2 linked regions of the Pelodiscus sinensis genome follow. The protein of the gene in region 1 purifies or fractionates together with the protein of each later gene. This does not show direct contact. Links are inferred from orthologs where the notes say so. Each region holds a gene or a part of one and is shown in the gene's direction. Other genes may lie near its edges.

Region 1 (15,189 bases):
TATTGGAGAAATACAAATGAAGAAAGTGTGTGCTTAACCTGGCACAAAGGAGGGAAACATTCTCAGTTTAAAGAATGAGATTCTGGGCATGTGCATGTAAATACAGTTCATTAGTTTGCATAGGCCTGCTAGATATTCTACTACAATGGTTTTTTGCCCATTTGTGCCAGCGTGAATTCCACCCGCCTGAGCAGGAGGGAGTTAACTCAGCCCTGAGAGCCAAGGAAGCCACACCCACTGTATCTTACTGGGCATGCTTGGGCTACACTACTATAAAAGGGAGCAGCTCAGCTCATTTGGGGCTGGTAGCAGAGGAGCATGCTGAACTAGCTCCCTGCAAGCCCCAGCAACTACCTAAAGGTTGGAATACTGCCACCTAGGCTAGTGACCAGATGCCTGTAGAGACCACGCTGGATTTGGAAATAAGGGGAAGTAGCCAGAATGCAGAGAGCCGTGGTGAAATGGAGACTCACCAGTGAGCCAAGACCGGGGAAGCAGGAAGCAGCCCAGGAGCGGCAATAGCTACCAGTGAGCCACTGTCAGGGAGTCAGTGTGTTGCAGTTAGGATTTCCCTGTTGACTCAGTGGTGAGGGTATGCCACTAACAGGGCCCTGGGCTGGGGTCCAGTGGAGTAGGAGGGCCTGGACCCCCCCTGTAGTAGGAAGTAAACCTTTCCCCAGCTGCTCCCCCACAAATCGACTCTGACCATTGGGTCATGTGTTGACTATTGAACTATGCTGCCCTGCCTATAGGATTCCCATGAGGGGACTAGAGGGAAGGAGCAGACAGACTTTGGGGGTGGGAATAGAGGCACCAGCTGGGGAGAAAAAGGGTGGGGATAAGTGCGATAGGGGCGAGGTGATCCACCCCACCTGAACCATGTCATCCCCATAGCCGTGTGACACCATTGTAACCAATTTGACTGTTGTGGGGTCACAAACTGTGTTAACACTACATGCAGGAATTGTGAGGTATGATCACCAGTGCTTGCACGTATTGGGGGAATGCAGAAAAGTCAGACTGTGTTTAACTCAGCTCAGAGGAGAGAAACTGTCAGTGTAAAGAACCTTGGATGGACAAGGGCCTCCATGCCAAAGCTCTGTGAAGTTAACTGGGGAGGGCAGGATTCTGACTGCCCTCCAGGTACGAGCTGTAAGACCGGTTCAACCTGTTTCTCCTCCCTGTTCTAATGATAGAACTAGAACAATTTCTGTAAGGAGTCTCTCTTATTATTTTAAACTTACTCCAGTGGATGCTGGAATCTCTTGTGGCTGGATGGTGCTTTGAGCCAAGCGGAAATCCCTCAGAGCTGAAATCAATAGGTTTGGCCCAGAGCCAAATCCTCCACAAGCCTGCAGAAGATGCGATGAGAAGCTAGCACAGTGGCAGCAGCAGGATGAGCAGCCAGCAGAGTGGCAACAGAGGGATAATGAGCAGCAGCCGAGTGGCAGCAGCAAGGTGAGATGAATGCCAGCAGAGTGGTGCCAGACAGCAGCGAGCAGGTGGATGATGAGTGACCAGCGGAGTGAGTAAAATGCCTCCTACCTCCTCCCGCTCAGGATGGGAAGTGAATTCTGCAGCTGCACCTCTGAACTTTAGATCTGCCCTTGGTCAGGGCAGTGACTGTGAGTGGGGTGAAGAGAAGGTCTGGGCATGTGAAGGGGACATTTACATTGCTGGACTTGAGAGCCTGCGAGGAAAAGGCCATTGCCCAACCTACTTGAGCTGGGATGTTTACTCATGGCTTTGGTTATGAACTCTGTTTGGGGTGTTTTCCCAAAGTAATGCCACGTTACTTCCCTCCCCTTTTAATAAAAGTTTCTCTTTTACACTCAGACTCTGTGTTTGTGAGTGGGGAAGCATTGCCTCCCAGAGGTGCCCAGGGGTGTTGTGTGAATTTCCCAGATTACTGGGTGCGGGCTCGAACCAGTTTTGTGTTGGATGGATGAAGAGAAACCCCTAGATATTGAACCTGGCCCTGGCTGCTGCTGGCATAACCTAGCAGAATGGTTACACACATTTACACTGTGCTAGCACCTATTGTGTTTGACAAGCAAAAACCAGAATCTGCATAGGACATCAGGTTCATTTTTGAGATTTTACATGCAAAACTTCATGTCCTTGCTGGTGTTCTCACTGTAAGAGCCTTTAGTGTGTCTTTGTGTGAACTCTTTTGTACTCAAAATAGTAAGAGCAAGTAGTGATAGCCTGAACAGAAATATGTAGTCTGGGGGTAAGGCACTCAGCATGTCTACACTACATGGAGGATTGTTGATGCTGCAGTTGATCTTCTGGGGTTTGATTTAGCAGGTCAAACCCCTTCTAAACTGAACTCAGTGGGTGCCCCCATTGACGCCAGTACTCCTGCTCCTCATGAGGAATAAGGGATGCCGACAGAAGTTTTTGCTCCCATTGGCCTCCTGCTGTGCGCGGAAACATGATGTTAGATAACATGATGTAGCTGGAGAGGCATATCTTACTTTGACCTTCCAACGTAGTACAGGCAGTCCCCGGGTTACATACAAGATAGGGACTGTAGGTTTGTTCTTAAGTTGAATCTGTATGTAAGTCGGAACTGGCGTCCAGATTCAGCCGCTGCTGAAACTGACCAGCAGCGGCTGAATCAGGACCAGAGCAGCTGGGGTGCTGCTGGGTTGGACCAGTAGCGCCCAGAGTGGCGCTGCGGGACCAACCGGCAGCACCCCAGCTGCTCTGCCACAGGCGTCTGGAGAAAAGCCTAGTCTGCTGGGGGGGGGGCGTACTAGCTGCGCCCCCCCCACCCCAGCAGACCAGGAAGACACGGGCGGCGCCAAGCTGCGGGGGGGGGGGCTCGGGCAGCGAGGCAGCCCAGGCGCGCCTGGACTGCTCCGCTGCCGGCTTCCCTGCGGCTTTGCAAAGCCGCGAGGGGGAGGGCTGGGGGGGGGGCTGCCCTGGGCTGCCTTAGCCCCTCCGGGGCTTTGCTCTGTGTCTTCCTGGTCTGCAGACCAGGGAGACGCAGAGACAGCCCCAGAGTACACTGGCGGCAGGACCGCGAGGTCCCGCAGTCCGTGTACTCTGGGGCAGCCCCGTTCGTAACTGTGGATCCGACATAAGTCGGATCCGCGTACGTTGGGGACTGCCTGTACTTGCATCCTCATTGCAAGAGACACACAAGCCCACCACATGGTCTGAGCACCCACTCCAGAATCTGGCAAACTTGTTCAAGAATTGGGCTGTTTAGGCCACTGCTTTTAATCTGCCTCTCTGGTCACAGGTCACAGCATAGGTGATGATGTTAGTCCTGTCCCTGGACTGGACTGGTCAGGACCGTGAAGTCCTACTGCTGTCACAGTGGGTTGTGATAGACATGCAGCCATGTTAATCTGGTCTAGCTGAAACAAAAGACAGGACTATGCAGCACTTTAAAGACTAACAAGATGATTTATTAGGTGATGAGCTTTTGTGGGCCAGACCCACTTCCTCAGATCAATTTTATGGAAGAAAATTGGCACGACCATAAATACCAAAGTGATACAATAAAAAAAAAAGTGAACACATATAAAATTGACAAATCAGATTTTAGAACAGAGGGGAAATGCGAGGGGGGGAAAGTTAGTGTCTGTGAGGTGATGATATTAGGGGTGATAACAAGCAATTAGAAACACTATGCCAGAGGATACCACTGCCAATCTGTAACTTTGTTCTCACCCGCAATTATTTCCAATTTGGAGACAACTTATACCTCCAGATCAGCGGCACAGCCAAAAAAATCTTTTTACTTAGGCCCATTTACTAAATTCACTAAACTTTAGGACAAAGCAATAGACATTTAACTAAAAGGACTTAATTTAATGAAATATTAAATGTGTATTAACATATACCTTATATTGCTATATTATTGTTACATCATTAAACTACATTACTATATTACTAAACGTAAAATACAAATATAAAAAGAATAAAACTTTCAGTTCTAACAGTGGGGTGTTCTCCAGGGGCCCAAACTGGGACCAATCCTATTCAGGATATTCACAAATGATCTGAGAAAGGACTAAACAGTGAGATGGCAAAATTGGCAAATACAAAACTGCTCAATATAGTTAAGTCCAAAGCAGACTGTAAAGAGTTTCAAAAAGATCCCACAAAACTAGGTGACTGGGCAACAAAGTGGCAGATGAAATTCCATGTTGATAAATGCAAAGTAATGCATACTGGAAACCATAACCCCAATTATACATATAAAACAATAGGGATATGTTTTAGCTGTTACCTCTCAAGAGAGAGATCTTGGAGTCATTGAAGATAGTTTTCTGAAAATATCCACTCAATATGCAGCAGCAGTCAAAAAAGCTAACAATGTTGGAAATCATTAAGATATAGATGAAAGAGAAAATTTTGTATTGCCTCTATAAAGATCCATAGTGTGTCCACATCTGGAATACCATATGCAGATGTGTTCATTCCATCCTCCCAAAAATATACTGGACTTGGAAAATGTTCAGAAAAAAGCAACAAAAATGATTAGGGGTATGAACGGCTTCTGTATGAGGAGAGTAATAAGAATGGGACTTTTTAGCTTGGAAAAGATACTAAGGGGGATATGAGTCAGAGCTATAAAATCATGACAGGTATGGAGAAAATAGGTAAGGAAGTGTTATTTACTTATAACAAAAAAAAAAAAACCTAGGGCTTCACCAAATGAAATTAATAGGCAGCAAATTTAAAACAAAAGGAAGTATTTTAACCAGGGTGGATTTGATTTAAATCACATTTATTTAAATCACTAGTTAAGACTCAATTTAAACATGGTTTTCTACATAAAAGTGCAGTCTTGTTGGTTGTCATAACCTTAATTTTTTCACAACTCAGAGATAGATGTAGGTTTCATTTTTAGAAGGTAGACACTATACATTTTAAATAGTGATTTATTTTGAACACAAAATGAAATGAATGATTGGTTATTTCATTTATCAAAGGTAATGAAGCAGATAGTTATGAAGTCATTGAGAAATGAGCAATCTCCAATTCAACAGATTAATCATTAATATTTGGAGGATTTTCATGATGTATTACAGGTGGTACCTCTAAAAACTGGCATTCTCTGATCTGGAAACATCTGTAGTACAGCAGGACCAAGGATGCTCCTGAACTTAGGAGCCCGGGAACCTAAGGGCAGGAGGGACAGCCAGGCTGAGGAAAACAAGGTCAGCTGCAGGCAGTGCAGGACCCGTGCTGGACCCCCATAGCAGTGTGGAGCCAGGGCTGGACTTCCCTTGCAGCCTCTGCAACAGCACAGGCCTGGACTCTCCTGACAGTCCCCGGGAGTGTAGAGCCAGAGCCCCCACAGCAGCCCCCTGGAGTCTGGGTCTGGGACCAGAGCCCTGCAGCAACCCTGGAAATGTGGGGCCAAGATGGATCCCCATGGCAGCCTGCAGAAGCACGGGGCTGGGGCTGGAGTCCCTGGTGAAAAGGTGAAAGTGCATGCTGTTGCATGAGTATGTCATGAAAACATCTGTATTTTTTTTAAAGCTCAAAATAGCTGATAATGTAAGACATTGGATGCTGACTGCAATTCCAAGTGGTGATTGAACCTGGTGATATCCAGAATGTAAAAAGCCTGTTACCCATGGTTGTATCTGTTTCCATCTCTTCACAATTGACTTCATATTATTACTTTTGTATGGCAATCTTGGACTCTTATTTCATAGAATTAATATAAGCAAAATATGTACGTAACTACACTGTTTACATGCTATTTTAGGCACTTGACAACACTTAGTCTAAGGGCAATCAAGTTGTTCTGTTACCAGGATGAGTCTGTAAGAAATGACAAATCATTTTGCCAACTATTTTGTCTTCTCTCCTCCATTAGGGGGCAGTCTGGCTGATCATTCATGAGTCATTTGTACCCATGGTAACGTGTGACGATCCTTAACTCCAGTCTACTTCTAGCCCAGAAGCTTCTGGCTTGGCCTTGGCTCAGATCAAGCAGTGTCCATTTTTAGCACTTTTTTTTTTTTTTTTTTAAAGAAACTAGAACACACAGTACCGCAGTCGGTGCTCTCATGAGTTGCAACGCATGAAAGCTTATGACATAACAAAATTGTTAGTCTTTAAAGGTGCCATGGGGCTTTTTTTTCCCCTTTTCTGAAACAGACTAACAGGGCTACCCCTGAAACGTCTCTTCCTGCGCCCTTTCCTAGGCTGAGCTTTTTTTATTTTTTATTTTTTGGAGGGGCGGGGGAAAAGGGCAAAATATTTAGCTCCTCAAGTTTTTGCTACACGCAGCTGGCTGATCCTCTCCTGCTGCACGTTCCACGCCAGCTCTAACACCTCACGGTCTGCAGGGAGAGCAGTTTTTAACCAGGAATGTGCGCATTGGAGGCACCACTCCCTGCCCGCCCGTAGCCTTCAGACGGCTGGTGCTGCGGCGCTCGGGAAGGGGCGAGCCTGAGCTCATTTCTACGTGGCGAGTTGCACGCACGGGCGCGAGGCCGAGACCCTCCCGCTTCCCTGGCGCGAGCGCCTCGCCCCTCCCGCGCCATGAGGCACGCTACGCCACACCTCGCGGGTCTCCCCCCCTCCCCGGGTGGGTGGGGCCGGCGCGCGGCCTCCTTCGCCCGCCCCTCCCTGCCCCGCGGGCTCTGCCGTTGACTTCAACCGAGCAGCCTCTGACGCCAAGTGCGCCACAGCTTCAGTCTGGTCTCCGCGGGGGCGGGGCGGATTGTGAGTGGCGTCCCGCGTGACCAATGGGCGGGCCAAGCGCCTGACAGCTAGGCGGTGCGCGCCCACCGGGCAGGCGCGGGGCGGGCTGCCCGAGGTGGCTGGCCGGCGCGGCGGCTGAGGCGCAGCACTCGGCGGGAGGAAGCGGAGCGGCAGGATGCGGGTCTGGAGCTCTGTGCTGCTGCGGGAGCTGATGCGGCTCGGCCAGCCCGCGGGGGGCGGAGGCTCAGCGGTGAGGCGGCCGCTGGCCCCGTTCGCTGCGGCCGCCTGGGGCGCTGGCTCGCTCCCCTCCCCCTGCTGGGGGCCGCCGCCCGTCCGCAGCGTCTGCACCCGCTCGGAAGGGGCCCTGCAGGAGCCGGGCAAGGGGCCGCCCCTGTCCGCTAGGGCGCCGCCCGCCGACGGCGGCAACAACAACCACCTCAACGGCGGCCAGGAGCTGGCCGGAGCCGGGGGGGACAAGTGAGTCGGGGGGGGGGAGCGGCGGGAGGCTGAGGCGCTCGCCACGCGGGGAGATGCTGCTGGCGGCGGGCCGTGCCTGCGCTGTATGGATGGTCCCTCCCGCGGCGGCTGGGCGGGGACTCGCGTGTGGGGCGTTGGAGGGCTGCTCGCCGGGCCGGCGGAGGTGCTGGGGGCTCTGGGCCCCCGACCCTCCCCCGGGTCGCAAGCTCCCAGTAACCGCAAAGCCGCCACAGCAAGCCGGCGCGTCTGGGGCTGGAGTGGGCGAGGGGTCCCTCGCCGGGCAGGGCAGGCGTGTTGCTATCCTGAGGGGCAGGGTGAGCGCCGCGGAGGGTGGGAAATCCTAGACCCTGCCTTGTGCCTTCTCCTTCACTGTTCTGCTTCTCCCGTCGTAGAGAAAATACTTGACTGCTTTTACCCGCTTGGTGTATTGACTCGTTGTGGGTATCTCTCCCTCCCTCAAGGGGAAAAGCAGATACATGCTGCAGCTATGCCAAAGGAAATAGTGCCGTGTACGTCAATATTAAGTAAAAAAAAATCTCAAAATAGTGCTGGCACCGGCTTTGTATTCGGACTCTCTGATGTAAATGTATTCTAATATTAAAATAAGCTTTTAAAAATGCTTTCTATAATTAGGTATAGTGCATTTTATCTGCGAATTTCAGTAGGATTCAGCACATTATGAACATGCTATTTATGTGTCCTTCAATCAAATGGGAAACAAGGGGGAATACATTTCAGATAAGACAATATGTTCTGGTGCTTTTTTGTTGGAATGATATTTTGTTTGAACAAAAATACTATGTCTGTTATATTATTAAAGGTGAATTCAGTGCACTCTCTCCTGTATTGGCACTCCTGCAATGGTCTTCTCAATTACACTGCTACATCTTGTGATTTTTAGAAGTTAACCTCTAAGTCCCTGATCTCCAACCTATAATTAGTAGAGAGAGAATTAACGATGTTGTGCATTACACGTGTTTACACTAATTCCCATGGAATGTGCCTATGGGACTAACTGGGTGGATTGATCCTAATTTATGTATTGGTCTCAGGGTTGGGTGAGGGCGGGCAGGTGTTGAGGACAGACAGCAGTGAAAAGCTGATTTCATTAAGCTCATTTTAATATTTGAGGGCTTAAAATTCATCATTGGGCTAAATATTAGAAAAAGGTACAAAGCACATGAGAATTCTATTTATTAAGGTCAAGGGAGCAAAACCTTCATTTAAAAATTTGGGTTCCTCACAAATGCTCTGACTCCTGGTAAAGGAAAACATGCTAGAACATCTAGCTCAGTGGTTCCCAAACTTTTTGGCATCAGGCCCCTTATTGATTTTTGGGAAACCTTCCCCCTCCCCCAGCAAAAAACTTGAGCAAAAAAAAAAAGGAACTGACCTGGACCAAAAAACAAAAATAGCAAGGGGATGGGGGCGGAGGGGTTGGGTTGCCTTGCACTCCCCTCCCCCCGGAATTCCTTTACGCCCCCCAGTTTGGGAACCCATGATTCTAGCTGAAGAGCTTCATCTTTCATATCAATCTGTATGTATCCGTCTTGTAAATGTGACATTCTGTCTCTTCAGTCTCCTAGAAGAGAGAAAATATGCTGTCTAGCTCCCTGCTTTCCTCTTTTGCCCTTCAGAGCTTTGTGTCTGTTTCTCTCTCTCTCCCCAAGCTTTGGCTTGTTTGAGGGCAGGTCATCCCCACTATGGAGCTATGAAAGTTGTATTATTAAATTCCTATAATACCCATAATGTGTATGCATAGTATATTTTCTGCATATGTGAAGTTTGGATGTAGTTGTGGATGTAGTTTCATAAATGATCATAAATATAAATTAATAATGAAACTAATTTCCATTATGATTCTAAATGCACGTCATATCATTATTGAACTTTAATGTCAAGGTAATGTCATTTTAGTGAAAGAAACACATACTTGGATGGATACTAATGCAAAAAGGGCAGCATCCTCACTCCCCAATTTGAATTCCTAACCATTCTTGTCTGTAGATTAATTCCAAAGTAGTTATTCAGGCAAAGTCTGTAAAATAATATCTTGTATCAGTGCACTAAGATTTTAGTGCAAATTTTAAATAATGTCTAATCAGTTTATCACTCGAAAAAATACTACTTGATCACCCATGGGGCAAAATGTACATGCTACATTTTAAAAATAACTTTCATTGTTTTCTTTGACACATGGATGCACTTGATAGTCTGTAGTTATTTTGATTTTCAAGCTTTAGTGCCTAATGCACAGAGAGTAGTATCTTACAATTACCAAAACTCAAGACAAATGCACACTACTTTGTGAGTGTTACAGTACAAATGATAGCTGTACTCTATGACAAGAGTACAATTATAAAGAGAAGCACTTTTTCATGCAACACAGCTGGTGGCTCTTACTGGTGCATGCTAACTGAAGTGAATAGCTTAGTGGGGTTCCAACATGGATAATAAGAACCAACTTGGTATAGAGCCCTTTAAAAATAAACTACTGGCCACTGTAGACGGCAGGATACTGGAGTAAATGGACCACTGATTCAGTATAAAAATTTGTGTATCTGTCTTTACTGGTGCTCATGGTTTTGAAATGCTGCAGCATGACATTGACAAGAGTTAATGTTCCTTAGGGCAGGAGTAAAATCCCTAGTTATTCATTGTCACTTAGCTGCTCAAAAATTGTACAAAACTATGAGCAGCAGCTGTCACTGGAGTTGTCTGGAGACTCAAGAAAATAGTACTATATTTTACACTCAGCATGGTATAAAGGGTAATTTTTGCAACTGAAAATTTTACAAAGTTAACTTTTTATGTGAAAAATTATACGGAAATTCATAGATTGTTCAGCTGTTATGTAAGCTTTAGTGAATTTTCAAGCCCTGAATATTGTTCCTGTAATTAAGGATATGACTTTTATAGTTCTTCTTTTGACCTCCTGTCCCCAGATACCATCCCATTTTCCACCAGAAAATCATGTATGTTTTTTTGGGGGAGAACTTTTTTAAGCTCAGTTAACTAGAGAAGCAATCCTTGGTGGCTGATTTTAGAGCTAGCAGTTTTCAAAGTTTTAGGGCTCACTAAAATTTGCAACTTAAATTTATCTTGTATGTATCGATGTGTTTTAATCAAAAGGTGTTTTTTTTAAAAGCCTTAAATATAAATTTCCATGCTTAATAACGGTTTCCCTTTGCAGAGAAATCACAGAAATTACTATCAAATTAATGTTCTGGTATACAGGCAGTCCCTGGGTTACGTACAAGGTAGGGACTGTAGGTTTGTTCTTAAGTTGAATCTGTATGTAAGTCGGAACTGGCATCCAGATTCAGCCGCTGCTGAAACTGATCAGTTTCAACAGCGGCTGAATCTGGACACCAGTTCTGACTTACATACAGATTCAACTTAAGAACCCCAGGCGTCCCCAAGTCAGCTGCTGCTGAAACTGATCAGCAGCTGATTCCAGGAAGCCCGGGGCAGAGCAACTCTGCCTGGGGCTTCCTGTAGTCAGCCGCTGGTCAGTTTCAGCAGCGGCCAACTTGGGGACGCCTGGGGCAGAGCAGCTCGGGTGCTGCTGGGTTGGTCCAGTAGCGTGGCTGCTCCTCGGCGCTACTGGAGCAACCCAGCAGCACCCCAGCTGCTCTGCCCCAGGCGTCCTGATTCAGCCGCTGCTGAAACTGATCAGCAGCGGCTGAATCAGGACTCCTGGGGCAGAGCAGCTGGGGTGCTGCCAGGTTGGTCCAGTAGCGCCAAGGAGTGGTGCTGCGGGACCAACCGGCAGCGCCCCACCTGCTCTACCACAGGCCCCGGGCTTTGCTCCACGTCTCCCTGGTCTGCTGGGGGGGGGGGGGCACTAGCTGTGTCCCCCCCCTCCCCCAGCAGACCAGGGAGATGCAGAGCAAAGCGGCAGAGGACCCGGGCCAGATCAGCTGGAAGCGCCGCGGTTCTGGCCGGGTCCTCCGCGGCTTTGCTCAGCGTCTCCCTGGTCTTCTGGCTCCCCCAACAGACCAGGGAGACGGGGAGCAGCTTTTCTCGCCCCGGAGGAGGCAGGCGGCGGGACCAGGCGTCCCGGCCCTCCAGTCCTCCGGGGCGAGAAAAATCCCCGTTCGTAACTGCGGATCCGACATAAGTCGGATCCGCGTAACTCGGGGACTGCCTGTACTTTTTTTTTCCATTTGTCTATCTCTCCTGTTCACTTTGTTTCTATCATTCTGCAGTAAAGGACGTAGGTATTTCAGTGGATGAGAAGCTGGATATGAATCAGTGTGCCCTTGTAGCCAAGAAGGCTAATGGCATATTGGGGTGCATTAGTAGGAGCATTACCAGCAGATCTAGGGATGTGATTATTCCCCTTTATTCAGCACTGGTGAGGCCACATCTGAAGTCTTGTGTCCGATTTTGAGCACTCCATTACGGAAAGGATGTGAATGATTGGAGGAAGTCCAGTGGAGAGCAGCAAAAGTGATAGGGTATTGGAGCACATGACTTATGAGGAGAAGCTGAGGCATTTGGACTTACTTAGTCTACAGAAGAGAAAAGTGAGGGTAGATTTGATAGTAGTCTTCAACTACTGGAAGCGGGGGGGGGGGGGGGTTCCAAAGAGAATGGAGAGAGGCTGTTCTCAGTGGTGACAGATAAGAGAATGAGGAGCAATGGTCTCAAGTGGCAGTGTGGGAGGTCTAGGTTGACATTAGGAAAAACTATTTTACTAGGAGGGTGATGAAGCGCAGGAATGGGTTATCTAGGAAGCTGAGGGAGTTTAAGTCCTGGCTTGACAAAGCCCTGGCTGGTATGATTTAGTTGGGATTGGTCCTGCCTTTAGTAGGGGGTTGGTCTCTATCACCTTCACAGGTCTCTTCTAACTCCGATTCTATGACTCTGATTTACATTCAGTCTCTGACAGTTAATAATAGTGCACAAATGCTGCTGCTTCATGTGCCCTCCTTGTTGGGAAGTTGGAGCGGTCTTAGGCCTTCCCCTCCATCTCCCTCCTCTTCAGGGGCACCATATGGATCTAGAGCGCCCCCTATTCCTGGAGGAGAGAGGACTACAGTTCTCCACACCATCCCTGGATATACTGGTGAACTGCCTCCTAGAATAACAGGCAGCTTTAGTCAGCTAGAGCAGTGTTTCTCAACGAGTGGTACAAGTACCCCCCAGGAGTACTTGAGAAAAGTCTGGGGGGTACATCAACACAACTGAAATTTGGAGAAAACTGAATTTTTGTTTTAAGTTTTACAGCACTTTATTATACCCGGCTACAATTTAGTTGTTTAAACAGATGTGTTGCAGTGGTAGAATAAAAAACATGTGTCTGAAAACTGTAGGTGCTGGGGGTACTTATAATTTTTTTTTAAAAAAAGGGGGTACTTTATAAAAAAAAAAGGTTGACAAACACTGAGCCTAGCATATTTATTTGTTCTGTAACTCAAGTGGGAACTGTTGGTTGTGCAGTGCTGATGGTTTAGAACAAGTGTGTGTGTGTGTGTGTGTGTGAAACCAACCTAGGAAATGACATATTTAGCCTAAATAACTTATTTTTATTTTTTTAATCACTTGAAAGTTAGAAACGCCAAATTTATGGACTCCTGTTCAACCTTAATTCTTCCCTTTTATGCATATATGTGTTATGGTCGTCTGATTACTCAATAACATTATTGTTTTCCACAGGACTTGTCTCATTCAGATTATGGGATGGATGCACAAGGGGGCAAAATGAACAATAGAGTAGTTGACTTTGCAGTCTTAATAACTTTGCAATTGTATTAATGTACATCATATATAATTTTCAATCAAATATCTTTGTACTCCAGCCCCATTGGAAACTTGTTTTAGAAGAAAATTCTGTCATGTTAGAAAGATACATACCGGTAGTTTTTCTCTCTCCTTGTTAAGTCTTAATTTATTTTACTGTGATAGACTGGGTGATTTTTTTTTTATATAGAAATTCCTACTTATAAAATTATCAAAAAAAAAAAACCCACTTATGGAAGAAATGTAGATTTGAGGCAACTGCGCTATATATGAAGAAGTCAAAAGATTTTTTTTTTCTGTCTGATTTTTTTAGGTTCCAAGAATACACAGAAATTGTAATGGCTGTTCTAGTCATTCATACTACAGCATGTGCCAAAAGCAGCATTTCCAAGACTTCTCTACTTGACTCTATCTAACCTGCATGTGCAAGATACCACTTTTTGAATTCTATTTGCAGCATAATAGCACCTGAATTTTCTACTTCTTGTATTGTAGGGCAGTGGAAAGAAAATCTTATGTTGAGCTAAGACCACTGTGACCATGGTCATTGGAAAGATCACACTGAGAATGCTCAATCATGACAAATGGCAAAGAAAAGGGCAGATCTGCAAAATTAGTAGTTGGTTCTATAATTAGATTTTATCAAGCTAGTACTGTAACCAAACAGCTTGTTTAATACCTTACTAGTTACCAAGAAGCTAAAATACAGTTCTCCTTAAGCAATCCAGCCTTTGGTTCCTATTAAGGATGTGAAGAAGTGGGTAATTGTGTAGTTGATACAATTTGTATAGACTACATGATTAGTTGATGAGGGAAGGCACTCAGAAGGAGCTACCCCTGCTGCATCTCTGCTGTTTAAATGTAAGAGCTGGGACCCAGTCAGCCCAGCTCCTACTACATTTAAACTGCAGACTCACAGCAGAGTTAGCTCCTGGACCCGGCGTGAGCAAGGACTGAGCCAGGCTTGCTTATTCCCGGCTTGCACCGGGTCTAGCAGCCCCTGTCCATGAGAAGCAGCTTTGTTCTGCTCACAGCCAGAGCAGACTCTGTTCATAGTGTTTGGGGCTAGCCGCAGACGGGGGCTGCTTCTGGAGCAGCCTTTGTCTGCAGGGGGCTCCCAGGACAGAGTTGAGACCTCCCCCATGGACAGGGCGCCTTCGTAGCACCAGCCTCCTGTTGTCCCCCCTCTGTGTGTGTGGGGGGGGGGGGGAGGAAGAGCAAGTAGCACCATGGAGACAGTGCTGGGGGAACTGGTTTTTAAGTTGATTCCCCTCAGCGCTGGCGGCTCCAGCTTCCCCCTTCCCCTTCCGCTGCCTCTGATATTTAGGCAGCGAAGGGAGGGGAATATGAGTAGTCGATTCAACTACCTGATAAGCTTAGGCCTAAGCCTAGCCTACTTTTTTACATCCATAGTTACTATTAGGGATGAGAATGGGTATCTGTTGGGGGAAGAGGGGGTGTATCCCTAGCTCCCCCCAGTTCAATTGGCTAACCAATTAGCATAATGTTTAATCGATTGACTGACTAAATGGGATTTTACATCCTTAATTCCCATCCAGATAGCCAAGTCTACTAAGAACATGATAGTGTACATGTTTAAAGGGTTAACTGATGAGCCTGGGTTCATTGGCTAATATGCACAATTATAAGCAGACCCTCCCCCCCCTTGTGCTGCTGCCTCAGTATCAGAGTCAGCAGTGAGGGGGAAAGGCAGGAATGTACCAGTTCACATGGAGCCACCTCCCTCCTCTATCCTGTATGTAACAGTGTAAGCAGTTACATGATTACATAATTAAATGCATTTTAACATCCTTAAAGTCTATTATAGTGAGCGTTATTTAGTCTTATTCACCCTATATGAAATATTACTAACCCCAAGAGATCAGATACTAATTGACCTGATGAGTAATGTATTTCAGATCTGAAGCAAATGCATGCTAACAGCCAATTCTTATTAACGGATTTAAGATTTATTTAAGAAAGAAAGAATTATTACAGTTAAAAGATCATTATACACACAGGTATAAATAAAATTATTGAGTGAGTTTCATAGCATACACGACATGCTTCCAAATTCTAAAACTACTTCCGGATTCAGTTCATTATGTTATAATCCATTAGGCAATCTACTTACAGAATTTGTTCTAATTCTTCCATGAGAATTTGCATGGGTACTCAGGTTAAAGACCTTCTTTATAGTTCCTAAGCAGGGTGAGAAGCTTCTTTTCAAAGCAGAATCTTCCCTTGAAGAATAGGTAACATACATTGTTGCTTTGAAGT
Region 2 (15,584 bases), on another chromosome or scaffold:
CTGGGCTGCTTGCATGCCTGGCTTCTACAACATTTATACTGCAGAGCTGCAGTGGCCCCTTGTTGACTAATCATGTACTTGATACAAATTGTATTGAGTACACAATTAGTCATTTACTCCATACTTAACCTCCTTACAGTGAACTGAAATTTTGTTTTTTAAATAAATTCTAATGTGAAATAAGTTACTTTTGTAAAGGGAATAAATGTTGAACCTTATTATGATGATAGCTAATAGTTACTGTGAAAAGTTGTCATTGCTCAGAATGCTTTGCTACACGTGTGTTATGTACTTCTGATCTCACCACTAAAAGCTTTAAGTTTTGAGTACACAGTGTATTTAAGGATAATCACCACATATACATACTGAAACTGCATATAGTGGCTGAGTACTAAAAATAAATGCCATGTATTTATTTTTCCATTTTAGGGAAACATGATGGAACTGTGAAAGGTAGAGAGTATTTCCACTGCAAGCCACAACACGGTTTGTTCGTTCGACCAGGCCGCCTCAGTAAAGCACAAGCTTCAACAAAGAAATGCAGTAGCACTTCAGAATCTCAGGCATCCTCAAATTTAGAGAAGCGGAAAAGTTCCATACTTCAGGGGTCATCATCATCTTCTAAAGCAGGAGAAACACCCTTCTTTCAATCAGGAGATGCAGCTGCTTCTGCATTTTCTAGGAAACAAGAGAACAGGAAGTCTTGGATTAAATAAGCCGTAGTATTTTTGCACTTGCTACACACACTACAGTGTAGAAACCTTTATAGATTTTAAAAGTCGTTGTACAGTCTTCATCTGTCCATACTGAATGTGCACTCTGTAGAGTCATGGACTTAATTCTCTAATTTTTTATAAAAATATATATATATATTATATATATATATATTGTGCGTCTAGAGTTAGTTTACCAATAGGCAGATATGGCTGCACACTAAAATACAATTAAAGCTGATTTGTAGATACTTTGAGGTACTGGACTATTTGTTACGCAACAATTTGGGAGATGTATTTTAAACAAAAAAAGAAAATATTTTATTTTGGGGAAAAAAAGGATGTAAAACTATATTTGAAAAAACTACACTATGCTGTTCTTAATTACCAAAGAACTTGTATTAGACTGACACTCTTGCTATTCATATCCTGTTTTTATTGTAAACATTTGTTTTAACTACTAGCTTGGTGCCATGTTTTTTGTAGTCATTGGGCACTATGCTGCCTTATGTTCTATGTTTAAGTACACTGAAATAGTCTTTTTTTTTGGTCTTCCAAGAGGCCTGCCACTGTGGTGACTTGGCATTGTATTGAAAATCAAAACAATGTCGGGGCTATATGTTGGGAATTGTATATGCTAATCCAAGCCAGGCTGTTTGATTGCAGAAACAGTATTGCTGCAAAGAAGTGAGAACAATATTTCCTTTAAAAATGGCTTTTAGGCAAATGGGGAAACAAAGCAGCTGTAATGGATCACAATTGCAAACCTTGCACTGTTGTTTACTGTTTATGATCAAGCTAAAACGGAACATTCTAAAATTTTAATTTGCATAGTCTATTTTAATAATGGAAATGATGGAGGGATATATATACAATGCTTGTGAGTTCTTGAGAGCTGTTCCACATGTAGATATTGTAGATGGCTGTACATTGTCCTGGATATTTGTAAAGGAACATGTGATGAAAATAAGTGAAATGAATGACCTGCTGTACCTGTTTTTCTTTATTACTTAGCCAAGGAAATGAATGAGATACCTGGGACCTTAATGAAAAGCTGCTGTTATGTCTTTGATTTTGTGTATATGAAGCTGACTGTAGTATTTTACTATTTACTGTAAAGAACTGTAATTTATATTCTATTTCTGTCATTCTGTATTTAATTGGTACAGATCTTTGTTTTAGAATACAGACTTTATTTCAGATTTTTAAAAAGATTATTTTGCTTGTATTTTACTTCAGGACTGTATTTAAGGATTCATTCTAAAAAATAGATTTAATAAGTTTGCTAGTTCACATTTTTGGTGCTCCAGTGGGATATATTGTATACACCTCTTTAGCATGTATATGTATCAAAAGAGACTATACCTTTTAGGAGGAGGAGAGTGGACAGTATTAAATACTGATCCAGTTGACTGGTTCATGTAATACAGTGGTCACCAACCAGTAGATTGGGATCTCCTGGTAGATCTTGGAGCTTCTGACAGGTGATCCTGACTGGTTTGGCTAGGAAGCTTTCAAGCACTGGCACTTCAGTTGCCCCTCCTCCCATCCACATTGTCACGCTGCTCCTGCCCTCTGCCTTGGAGCTGCTCCTTGGGAGCCTCCTGCTTGCTGTGCAGGGTGTGGGAGGGAGAAGGGGGGGGTGCTGATGTCAGGGTGCCCATCCTCCCCTCACTCCTGTACCCTATTTCCACGCAGAGAGGAGGGGATGGAAGGAGCTTGGCAATGCAAATATCTGTCGCTCACACTGTGTGTCTGTCATTTTCATAAACACATGCTGTCCTTCACTCTCATCTCCTGACCCAACACCCAATATCTGGGTGGTGGTTGTTACTAGTTTTACTACTTGCAAAGTGTGTTAGCTTTGGGTTTTTTACTTGTCTGTGCATTTCTCTCTTACACTTAAATTTAATTCTTTGAGTAGTGAGTTCTACAATGCCTAACCTGTTGTGGCTGGAGTGATTATCCCTGTGGTAATTGCTGCTTCTGGAAGTGGCTGGCATGTCCCTGCAGCCCCTGAGAAAAGCAGAGCAGAAGGTCTCCACATCGGGTCCTTGCCTGCAGACACCACTCCTGCAGCTCCCATTGATCAATAATGGGGAGCTGTGGCCAGCAGAAGCTGTGGGCTCAGTGCCTATAGCTGAAGGCCAGCACATGGTGCCGTGAAGCCATTGCTGTACGTGCCAGCTGCTTTCAGAAGTGGTGCAGGGCCAGAGCAGGAGTAAACCTGCCTTAACCCCACTGATCCACCACCCGGAAGCCATCTCAGTTAAACGGTGCCCAGCCAGAGCCTGAACTCCTGTCCAAGCTCTGAACCACCACCTACACCCAACCACCTGCCCCGGATGTGTCCCCCTCTGTACCCAAACTCCTTTCCAGAGCTTGCACTCTGAAACCCCTTATGGATCCCAGTCACCTGCCCTGGGCTATGCCCGGAGTCCCTCCCATACACCAAACTCCTGGCCCAAGACCAGAGCCTGCTCTTCAATCCTCCTACCCCAGCCTGGTGAAAGGGAGTGAGGATGGGGGAGAAAGGGGAATGGAGTGAGCAGGGTGAGGCCTCGGAGAAGGGGTGGAGCAGGGGCAGGGCTAAGTGGCAGGAAGGAAGCAGGACCAGGGTATTTGGGTTTGAAGTAGATCTTACATTGCACTTAAATTGAAAAAGTGATCTTGTGGTTAAAAAGGTTGGAGACCACTGATGTATTACGAAGTTTCAGTAATGACAGAATACAGTGTATCTGGCTATGCCCAAATGTGTATTAGTTGCTTTTTGGGAAACAATGTACCTAGAGCAACAGTCCACAGAATTGATGTTTACCTAGAACTGATCAAGTTGCATCAATGGAAGAAATTCTCATCAGGATTGTAACTGAAGAATTCCTTTGTGTAAAAGTATTTTATCAAGGATAATACATGGTGTTAAAACATATCCAAATATTTATCTCAAAATGGTGTTTTAAATCTAAATTGAGGCTATAAGTTAAAATGTTTTTAAAAGTTTTTCTAAAAAAGTTACTGTAGTTGCCCCAAACAATTATTATGGATTATTTAAAAACAAATGTGGACATCATTGTGTGGAAAAATACAATGTTATTTTGGTTTACGATGGTGTTTAATATACATATTTGTATTTATTCTAGGCATTCATGAATACAAAATATGCATTTACTTCAGTTATTTTGAGGATAGCTTTGCTTGAGTTAATATGCAGCCTGTAACAATATTTCACAAAAATAACAAACCAATCAGCCCTTTCTGAATACTATACATCCATTCAAGAACTATTTATATGTTGTGATCTCTGTACTTACTGCAACTCCTGTTATTCTGCAAATCCCATATGTTTCATAGACTCCAAGGCAAGAAGAGATCATTCTGATAATCTGGTCTTGACCACCTGTGTAACACAGGCCCTAGGACATGCCAAAATTCATTTTGAATGACAGTTTATCTTTTTTTTTAAATCCAATCTTGATTTATAAATTTCCAGTGATGGAGAACCCATCACACATGTGGAGGTTGTTCCGTCCTACCCTCACTGTTATGCTTTATTTCTAGTTTGAATTAGGGATGTAATTAACTAGTTAAGTATCTGATAAGCTTGCTTATCAGATAGTCAACTAGTTAATTACATCCCTATTACATCTGATAAGCAAGCTTGTCAGATAGCTGACACACTAGTCAACTAGTTGTTCCCCCCCCCCCCCCCCAGCCTCTCTCAGAGGAAGCAAGGTGTGGGGGAGAAGGGAGTGCTGGGGGGAGATGGCTTAAAAGCCAGTTCACTCCAGCTCGGGGGGGGGGGGGGCCTAGGGGCGCAACAGCAGCATTTCACCTTTGAAATGTACAAGCATCCCAAAACGGAAGTGCTGCATGGAGCTTGGGGCCAGCAGGGGACGGGCCCCTGCTGGCCCCAAGCTCCATATCTGCCATTTCAATCTTTGAAATGCACGAGAGCCTCTGCTTGTGCTCTTCCATGTGGCACTTCTGCCTGTAAAATTTAGCAATAGCTGGGCAGGCTCTTGCTACATTTCAAAGCAAAGTGCCCTTATCAACTAATCAAATAGTCAGTGGAAATTCCACTTTCGATTAGTTGATTAATCTGATTTTAACATCCCTAGTTTGAGTTATCTAGCTTCAACTTATAACTCTTGAATCTTGTTATAACCCCCATTACCATGTCCTTCACCAAAACAAGTTAAGTGGAGAGACATGTTCATGGGAAGTAAAATATGAAAAATGACTTTTATTAGATATTTGCTATTTCGTGTCTATCGACAAATTTTTACCTTTCCATGCCTCATTTTCCCCTTCTGTAAAGTTAGCATGAGATATAACTCATCTCTTGAGAGAGAAAATCTAGCTGGTGAACGCCGGAGATTTTAGAAGAAATTTTTTATTCGTGTATAAACTGCTAACATTTAACTATCCAAGATGTTTTACTCTGATCGTGTAACACAACTCCAAAGATATTTCCTAGCCATTCCTTTTATGTAGTACCACCGTCTTCTGCAGCACTTAATAAAGTACGCCAAACACAGAACAGAATTTTTGCCATAATGATCTCTTGCTTACATAAAAACCCCCACAAAGAATACCGTACAATATGGGATAGATGAAACTCAACCTTAATCAAGATCCATCTGGTATTTGAGTAGATCATAAAAGGCCTTCTATTGATTTAATCTGTGTATTTTTGTTCAAGCTGTACATCTTCTAAAGATTTCATAGGCTGCTATTTTATGGCTTTTTCAGTTTATAAATAGTAGCTTTGTTCAGGCAGATCTATGCAGTGGGAATCATAATAGCATAGGTTTGGCCCCTTAGCTATGCTACCATAAACCTGTAATGTGGACAAAGCCTATGGCAACAAAGGAGACATTTTGTCATTACAGGAACATCATGTCCCCAACACTAGCTAGGCCAATAGAAGCATTCTTCTGTCAACCTAGCTACTTGTTCACAAGGAGTAAGATCAAAATGGGTATGGCACATGGTTGTGGGTTTCACACCTGTGTAGTGTACTTGTGTCAGACTAAATTCTGTGTATGCCAGACTTTCATGTTATTTAGAGGTGAGTCATTCTAAATGTGTTGCTTCCCATAGTATCACCTATGTTTTATCTGACAAAGTACAAATACTCCTACAAATGTATGGTTGGAAAGGGGTAAAGAGATAATCTAGTTAATCTCACCCAAGCCTCTACATTGAGACAGGACATAGTATTTTTTCTGCAATATTACTGCCTTGCCAATTATTACTCATTTTGTATTTGTGTATTTCATCTTTCTTTTCTAAGCGTAGTTCTTTGCACTTATACTCAGTTAATTTGTCATAATTTAACAGTTCTGTTTCCTGTGTTTTAAATATACACCAATAGAAAACTTCATTTTTGTTAAGTAGGCTTAGCAGAATTTGATTTTTTTTATAACTTTGGATAATATTTTAGGGAGTTTTTCAGTTCTCAATTTAAATGTTTACTCTTGTGTAAAATTATGGGGGCAGGCTGTATCTGCTATACCCTGACTTTGCAGAATCTACACCTTAGTACCCCCCTCCTCTTCCTAAAATGAACACACACAGCTGTAAAGCGCAGGGGCTTGCAAGAGGGGGGTGATCTATCCAATCCCTCCCCCCCACCTACTTAATGTCTCTGCTCCAGCTCTACTAGCAGCTGTTACAATACTTTTGAATCCCACTTTATGGTTTATAAAGTTTGCAAGCAGTATTTTTCTTACTGTGCTTAACTTAAATTTTGATTAGTATTGATGGAATTATTTTTATTAATTTGTGTATGTGTACAATGAAATCAACATATACTGACAAAAACCTTAATCTTCCAAGCCTAGTTCCAAGGTTACTATCAAAGACAAAATATGAAATGTGTGGACATATGCAAATTGGTTTTTTTTTACAATTAAGATCCACCACCCACAAGGACCCCAATACGCAGATTTTTCATTCCACAACAGCTGAACAACTGTGGCAGTGCATGCATATAAAACTAGCACTTCTGAAACTTAAGCCAAGCAACTAATTTTACATTCTAAAAATATGTATCCTTGCTAGGGGATGTTGAAGACCAAGACTTTTAACAGGGTTCAAAAAAGAACTAGATAAATTCATGGAGGTTAGATTTATCAAAACTTACTGGCCAGGATAGATAGGAAGAGTGTCCCTAGCTTCTGTCAGAGGTTGGAAATGGGTGATAGGACAGGGATCACTTAGTGATTCCCTGTTTTGTTGACTCCGTCTGGGGCATCTGCTATTAGCCACTGTCGGAAGACAGAACCCTGGGACATTTGATCTGACCTAATATGGTTGTTCTTATGTATGCTTTCTTGGTGTGTGGTAAATGTTAGTGACATAAGATTGTAGGGGATGTTATAAGAGCTGTTCAGGCTCACTGCAGCTCTATAGGATCTGGTCTCTGAATTGAATAATGTGGGGAAATGACAAAAATGCCTCCTTTATGGCGTTTTCCTGACCTTTTCTGTGGCTTTTAAATTTTTTTTTACACCACTTTAGTAGCACCTATATTTTAGAAGTGTGACCCTGGAAATACACTGAACCGGTGTAGTTCAAACCGGAAATTTCCCAAAGTTCAAGGACGTTTGAACTGACAATGTTGGCTCAGGCCATTTTCTCCATTTATAACGTCTACCTCTGCCCTTCCTCGGCTGTTTTTCATGTCAGGTTACTTGAGAGAGCCACTTAGTGCAGTTGTGCTCTAAGGTTTTGGCCATTTAATGAAGCAGCATTTTGCTGGCTCCTTGAAAATCACTTCCCCAGTCGCTGCTTGGCTCGGCGCTTTAGGGTCGGGGTTTTCAGATGCGGGGGGCGCGGCCCCGAGCAGGGCCTCAGACCATCCCCGCTGCTGGCACAAGCGCGGCCCGCGCAGGGCGAGTCCCGGGGCACGAGGCGCGGCTGCTGAGGAGGCGCCGGCCCGAAGGGCGCAGCCGCGGGAGCCGCGGGAGGGCGGGGGCTGCGCTGGGCCGGGCCCGGCTCCTCCCCGCGGCGGCCCCAGGCGGGGCGGGACGTGCCGCGCTCCACGCAGCGGCCGCAGCTGGGCCCGGACAGCAGCCGCTGCCGAGGTGGGTACCGGCCCGGGCGGGGCGGGCCTGGGAGCCCCGGGGGCGCGAGGGGCCCTGCCCCGCACCAGCCGCCTCGGCAGGGGGAGCCCGCGGGACCCGCCTCTCGGGGCCCGGGTCTCTGCTGCCCGAGAGCCGCCTCCGTCCTGCGGCCTAGGCTGCCACCTGCTCGCGCTGGAAGGGGCCCGGCCCGGCTGACTGAGCTCAGAGACGGGGGGCAGGGGGGCTGTGATGCGCGGTGCCTGGCGGAGCGGTAAGGGTGGCACAGGGCGGGGGTGATGCCGACGCACATAAGGGTTTGCCTGCCCCTGGCATTGCTCGGATTGGATCCAGCCTGGCTTTTGTCAAGCCCCGCAAAAATTGCGGGAGGCCCAGCCCGAGCCTGTCTGAAAATCCGGGTGTGCACAGGGCCAGTTGTGTTTTCATACGGATGCAGGGCTGGAGATGTCGAATAGCTCAACAGTGCTGAGGGAGGGAGGACTGCATCTACTCAACCGGGGGTCTGACCCCGGAGGGGGTTGCAAGAAGGTTTCAGGGGGGCTGCCAAGCATGGTGAGCAGTAGATTCCCTTAGAAAGGGAAAGCCTTGCTATAAGGGACTGCACTCTGGCACCCTGAGCCCCACCATCCATGGCTGAAGCCAAAGCCTGAGCAACTCAGGCCAGATCTTCGCTCGAGTTGCTGGAGCTGGTTTACCTTAAGCCGAGCTTGGTGGCGTCCCCACAGCGGGAGGCCCATAGGAGCAAAGGCTCCCATCAGCTTCCCTTGTATCTCTCAAAAGGGGGTGTACAGGATGCTGGCGGGGGCTCCCTCACAGTTAGATTTAGCAAGACTTAACTAGACTCACAAATCAAACTCCAGAAGATAGATCACGACAGCAGTGACCACCTTTTAGTGTTAGACAAGGTCTTAGTTTTGTAGGGCACTAAGGATTTTCCATGCTAGCTAATAAAGTGAAACGTTTGTTATCCGGCACTCTGTTAACCAGGAAACTTTGTTAAGTTTGAGGACATTGCTCTCAGCCACAATACTGTCACGTCTTCAGGCGGACAGACCTGGCTTGGTTTACCATGATTGGCTTAACAATTTGTTATTTAAGTAGTACTAATCATCTTTAACTCAAAATAGAAACGTGAGATCAACTGCCTCACATTACAAAACTACCAATATTAAGTTTTACTATTATTGTCCATTGTTTTTTCCTAGGTTGATGGGGACCCCCAGATAATCAGAATTTTTAGATAACCAGAACGCCCTAATCCCCGAGTGTGCCGGATAACACAGGTTTTACTGTACTTAATTCTCTTCCTGGCTTTTATATGCCCCTTCTGTCCCCCAAAAAACCCCAACAAACAGTTGTGGTACAGGTGGGTTGTGATGTTTTTATTGACTGTTGGGAAGGGATTCAGAAAGAAAAAGGTTCAGATCCCCTGCCCTAGACCATAGCAGATGTTAGTAGCAGATGTTAGTACAACCTGTTCCTAGATACCAATGATGGGGATTCTACAGCCTTCCTGGAAGCCTATTCCAGATCTTTACTCTTGCAGTTAATAAATTTTTTCCTAATATCCAACCTGAACCTCCCTTACTGCAAACTAAGCCAATTATTTTTGTCCAACCATTGGTAGACATGGAGAACCACTTATAGCCGTCCTCTCTATAACAATACTTGAAGACTGTTGTGTTGTTCTCTCAGCTTTCTTTTCTAGATTAGACATGATAAGGTGCCAGGGTGTAGTAGGGATGAAAATTGCATTTAAAATGTTAACCAGTTAAACTATATATTTAACTTATTAAACGGCCCATCTTGTCATGCTGTGGGTGGGGCTGCGGGAGCAGCCCCTTCCCCCACCCCCTCCGCCCCCTACCTGTGGCGCTGTGGGCCTGGCCAGGCAATGCCTGTTGCATTTCACCATGGGCAGGGGACTACTCTGGCTGGATACCAGTTAACTGGTTACCCCAGTAAACATGCTGGTAAAGCAATGCTTTCTGGGTAACTGGTTAACTGATCATCCATTTATATCCCTAGGCAGGGTGTAGATCCTTAGTAACCTCAGCATCACCCTTGAATCCTTAAGGGAGTTGAGCATTCCATCCAACTTGTTGGATGTCCTCTATAGTCACATGTACCTGCTATGCAATATGTATCAGATGCCTGCTACCAAGAGGCATGCTGTGTGGTAAAACTAATTGCCATAAGCCATCTGACATGTTCATAGCCACCTGTGGCATCATCTTGTCTACCATTTGGACCTCTTCAGTGGTTTTTCTTAGCTCTTCTCTATGTTCCTGTTGAAATTTGGAAACCTAGGGAATTATTCTTTCCCATGCCAAAAAACTATATTTAGCAAAAAGGGCCTGTTAATTATACAAAGTTTGGAGAGAGGCAGATAAATAAGTCTTATGCCTGAAAATACCCTGCTCTTAGAGTCCTTATTTTTCAGCATACCTTGGTAGATCAGGTCTTTTCTTAAACCCTCAGAGACTCTGGGGCTGGATGAGTGTAAGTTTTTGATAAATATTTTTCTACTCCCTTTGAAGTAAGGGGAAGCAAACCTTAATGTGTTAGCTGGTTAAGATTATCCCAGTGGATTTGAAAAATAAATACCTATTATCCTAGTCTAGAGAGACTCCTAGCATATAACATGGGCAAGATATGTTGTGTTTAACCCACACTCCCCCTTGGGCTTAATATAACCAGCTATTAGTTCTAAATTGTGTCTATACCTCTACCCTAGGTGCAGCATTGCATTTAAATGGTTAGTGTTCACATTTTTCTAGTCTAGAAGATAGCAAGTAAAGGTTTTTCCTATGTGTATACCATATGACACTTTGAATAAGATTTCCCTTTGTTTCTTATTCTTCCCACAAACCATTTCCTCAATGAAATTCTAGTCTGTTGTCCTGCGAATTGTTGCATGAATGTAAACAACCAAAGATTAGGTCTGAGAACAGATTCTGTGTCTATCATTGCAGGAGTTGGGACGTAAATGTTTCTGTTTGACATACTGTTATTTATTTTTATACTTTGTTACTCTGTGAAACAAATCATTAAACACTCTCAGCTGCATAAATTCTTGTCTAAGCTGTAGGTGTATTTTCTATTTTGAATATAATTTTTAATGTATCTTTGAACAAATTAATGTTTTTACCCTGTTTGATAGAGAAAATTATTATGCTGTGATATCAGTAATTAAAGTGCATTTGATTATCTGCCTCAGTATAATCTTGCTACGTATGTTTTGTCATCAATACCAGATAGTTAAAATTGTTTAAAATATTTTAAATTACTCATTCAATATTATAATAAGAGAATCATGAGGTATTATAAGGTATTATGGTTTTGTGGGTGGCTTTTTCCTTCTGCAATTTCAAAACATAGGGGGAGGTGGTTCTTTTGATTGGAATGTAAGGACATCTGAGTCAGTGGAAAATATTGTAGATTTTAAATATCCAGGAAAATTCTATTTAAGGAAAAAATATGATGATTGTTATTAACGTAAAGGTGAAGGGTTTTTCATTACTTCCCTTCATTTTTATATAGATTATCTGTTTTCCTTTTAAAATACTTTAAATTCCATGTACCACTAAAGAGGAAATAGACTTATAAACACTTTCCAGTATGTTCATTCTTTGTAAATGTTACATAGTATAAGGAAAATTAGAAAATCAAGGTAGAAAGGATAGAGCAGCTGTACTGTGCTGAGATGTGATTGGATCTATCAGGCTAAATACCAGAATTGAAATCTGAATTCTGGGCTTTGCTGCATGGTCTTAGCCAGTTGGCCCACTAAGCACTTGGGCACCCTTATGCTTACTGTCTCACCTGCCTTGTTTTAAGGGAATACGATTCCCAGTGAAATGAGTGTAATAGATTACTCCACTTGTAAATTTTGCCCCGTCTACCATTTGAAAAGTGGGACTAAATCTCAGAATTAGTTAATGGTTGTATTGGAGTATTAAAAGCCCTATACTGTATAGGCTAAGCATTACTGTGTCTGTACAGCATCACATTTTTGTTTATTAAACCCAGAAGATCATACTGTATGTTTTCAATGCAAAGACTCAAGATTCACAGTGTAACATTTCAGTGGAAAGAATTAATTTATTTTATGGGGGGCAATATTAATTGGCTATTTTACCTTTAGTTCAAGTAAAAAAATGTATATATCTGGAAAATAACCTGGAAAAAATATGAGCATTTCAGTACTTTTTCTAGAAGAGTAGGCTTGGCTGGCTTTTACATTTTTTATGGTTTTTTGTAATATGTATTATTTGATTGTTCTGTAAGCTTGAAATACTGTGGATTTTGAACTTTACCCATAAGCAATACTTGGTCTGGATAAACAAAGTGGAGGATGTAATAGTAAAATTATTTTTTGTGACACAAAAGAGGGAGCATTTAAGGATATATTTGCTATATAGTCTTTGCCATATAAACGTGTTCATATCACTTTTCATTTGATGTCTCTTTTCAGATTAAGAACTATAAAGTGATCCTAATGAGTCTTTTCCAGTTTACCACTAGAAGGCTGGTTTCACAAGCATATTGTGGACTTAAGCCACCTTCTTCCAAGAAACAACGAATTTGCTTAGAAATGGCTCGTTTTAAATCAAGTAAGATACATTTGTTCCCATATTTGTTTCTGTACATTGTCCAGGCAAATATTTTGTAAATTTTCTCTTTGCTTTGAGTTTTCAGCCTCTTCAAGTTGAGCAGCATTGTTGTAGACACAAAGTACTGAGCAAAATAAATGTCCTAACCTAGAGAGAGTATATTGTACAAATGGGGGCTACGTCTACACTGGCCCCTTTTCCAGAAGGGGCATGTAAATTTCACGAGTCGTCGTAGGGAAATCCGCGGGGGATTTAAATATCCCCCGCGGCATTTAAATAAAAATGTCCGCCGCTTTTTTCCGGCTTTTAAAAAAGCCGGAAAAGAGCGTCTAGACTGGCCCCAATCCTCCGGAAAAAGTGCCCTTTTCCGGAGGCTCTTGTTCTTACAAGTAAGAATAAGAATAAGAAGTAAGAATAAGAGCCTCCGGAAAAGGGCACTTTTTCCGGAGGATCGGGGCCAGTCTAGACGCTCTTTTCCGGCTTTTTTAAAAGCCGGAAAAAAGCGGCGGACATTTTTATTTAAATGCCGCGGGGGATATTTAAATCCCCCGCGGATTTCCCTACGACGACTCGTGAAATTTACATGCCCCTTCCGGAAAAGGGGCCAGTGTAGACGTAGCCGGGGTGTATAATGGCTGCACATACTTCTTTTTAAAGATTGCAAGACTCAAATCACCAGTCACCTTTGCTGAATCATTTTTGGCTCTGAGATAGACGTATCAGTTCTCTGCCTCAGAGAACATTGGAAGCCTGACATCTGGTATCCTTAGAAGAGTTATGGGAAATTAATGTTTGCACATTCCTTGCGTTTCTGTATCTTTTTAACCCTAACGTTTGCAAACAGGTCAGATCAGTCGTCCTGTGGATGCAAGCTAGAAGTTTTTAAAAGTTTTGTGTTTGAGTGCAAAAATATCCAATGAAAAATATTATAAATTGTATGTGTTTTTACATTTTGAACTCAAATGACTGAAAAGTTTTTAAAAAAATCCTTCTAGGCTTAGACCTAGTATGAGAAATTTCAGCCTTCAAGGTAACCTGTCAAAGTGAAACGTGTCTCATAATGGGTGTTTGCAACGGAAATTTAGTCTCAACATGAATATGGCATCACTACAGCTGTAATAATGAAGAGGAGAATGATAATTGAATAAAGCTTCAATTTGAAAATTCACAGGCTTTAATAATCACAGTCTATATTTTGGTTTGAAAGTGAGCTTCTTGGAAAGACAAGTATTTAAGAGGGAAAGTGTGGCTGTGAAGCTGTTAGTTTTGGATTTTTTTTAAAATTGTTAAAAGTCACCTCTGCAATCATGCTGAATGATTGCCAAGTTCCTGGCATAGTTAGGGGTCAAAATGGCTATTCCCGTTAACATGTCTTATTTCAATATTTATAAAATAGGAAATATATTTGTATCACTGTTAGGGATGTAATAGTATAGTCAATTAACTGATTAATCGATAAGCAAAAGCTTATAGGTTAATGCTGTAGACTGCACACATTTCCCCCCACCCCTTGCCAGTAAATTTTTTAGCAGGCTGGCCAGCAGCCCAGCTCAGTCCTGGCTTGCACTGGCTCCTGGACCTACTCCCCTGCAGCTCTGCATTTAAAGTATATAAGAAGCCAGGCCAGCTTAGTTACGACTTGTGCCAGGTCCAGGAGTCCAGATCCATCCCACTCCAGACAGGGGCTGCCCAGGGACTATTCAATAGTCAACTAACCGATAAGAATTCATTATGTTAATTGACTGTTCAGTTAACTGATATTTAACATCCCTAGTCACTGTATATTTTTGTTTATATATTTAGATTTGTCTTGCATATTCATAGTGAAATTTACTTCCCAGCTTCTACACTACAAGGTTTCTGCAGGAGTTGAGTTAGTAAAACCACTCCCACCAACTCACAAGCAGGGTGCATTGGTAATGCTACAGCTGTTCAAATCCCCACGGGGTAATCTACATGAAAATATTATATTTAAAGATTTAACTTCGAAAGATCTTGCTTAATACACTGGACTGTAGTAGAAAAATACAATTAGTCAGGTATCCGCCTCCACAGTCTCCTAGAAGGTATATGGTCTGGTTTAAATTGTGTGAATTTGGGCAGATAACTTAACAGCTTTCAAATTACAGGGATGCCGTTGACATACAACTCAAATTTCATTCTGAAATATCTTGTTTGCTATAATTCAAAGCCATATCTAAACTCAGAGGCAAGTATAATACCACAAGCTATAATTACTGATTTTTACACTAACTAGATTTTCAGTTCATGTTTTTGTTTTAATTAGCATGAGGTTTGAAGAATTTTAAGGTGGTTGTATCACAGTTCGGGGGCAACTGTGGCTGTACAGATTGAACTTCTCTTAACCTAGACTCTCTGGTCTGGCAACATCCCTGGTCTGGCAGGACTGGATTTCCCAGGACCAGAGAGTCCTGGTGGAGGTCTGGTGGCTGGGAACCCGACAGCAGGGCTAGTGCCCAGTAGTGGGGGCTGCCCTGTGGCACCAAAGCCACGAGCCCAACAGTAGGATTGCCATCCAGTGCTGACATTGCAGCGGGGGGGCAGGAAGCAGCAGGACTGGAGCCCAGCAGCAAAATTGCCCAGTGAGACAGAGAGGTAGTGGGGCCGCCTGGCAGCACAACCAGGAGCTGAGCGGCCCTGGTACCACCAGACAATGCAGCAGGACTGGGAAGCAGCGTGGCTGCCCCGTGGGGCCGGGAGCCTGACCGCGGGGCTACCTGGGAGTGGGGCTGCCTGGTGGCACAGCAAAAAGCCTGGCAGCTCTGCTGCTGGCCAGCAGAGCTGCCTGCATAATTGGACCCCAGCAGGGGGGCTGCCCTGCGGGGATGGAGCTTGGCACTGGGGTTGTGCATGCTGTGGCGGGGTGCCAGGCACCCTGCGTGTGGAGGGGCTGGCAGCAGGGGGAAGCCAGCTGGGAGGCTGGCAGTGAGGCCATTGCTGGGGGTGCTTGTGACAGGGGTGGGCTCGGAAGTGACCTTCCTTCGTCCATCAAAATCCCTCATCCAGGATCAGTCAGTTCCCAAGGGTGCCGGACGAAGGAGTCCAACCTGTATTTCCCCTCAGTGTCCAGCAAGGACATTCACTCACAGGCTTTCATCTCCCCAGCTGTTGTCTTTCTGGATGAAGACTTGCATCTTTCTTCCTCC

Evidence for each region.
Region 2: the proteins of GLS (region 1) and SIRT5 purify together in Homo sapiens (affinity purification with western blotting; 3 studies listed by BioGRID and IntAct, with this or other methods). This does not show direct contact. The link is inferred for Pelodiscus sinensis from reciprocal best matches to the Homo sapiens genes GLS and SIRT5.

The regions. Positions count from the first base shown.
Region 1 is NC_134717.1:66,949,947-66,965,135, forward strand, and holds the start of GLS (glutaminase kidney isoform, mitochondrial), read left to right. Parts: upstream 1-6,766; 5' UTR 6,767-6,859; coding exon 6,860-7,161; intron 7,162-7,622; coding exon 7,623-7,685; intron 7,686-15,189. UniProt on the Homo sapiens protein: Catalyzes the first reaction in the primary pathway for the renal catabolism of glutamine. Plays a role in maintaining acid-base homeostasis. Regulates the levels of the neurotransmitter glutamate, the main excitatory neurotransmitter in the brain.
Region 2 is NC_134712.1:105,929,757-105,945,340, forward strand, and holds the start of SIRT5 (NAD-dependent protein deacylase sirtuin-5, mitochondrial), read left to right. Parts: upstream 1-9,012; 5' UTR 9,013-9,119; coding exon 9,120-9,167; intron 9,168-12,278; coding exon 12,279-12,417; intron 12,418-15,584. Other genes in the region: kinesin-like protein KIF13A, read left to right, coding at 430-716. UniProt on the Homo sapiens protein: NAD-dependent lysine demalonylase, desuccinylase and deglutarylase that specifically removes malonyl, succinyl and glutaryl groups on target proteins.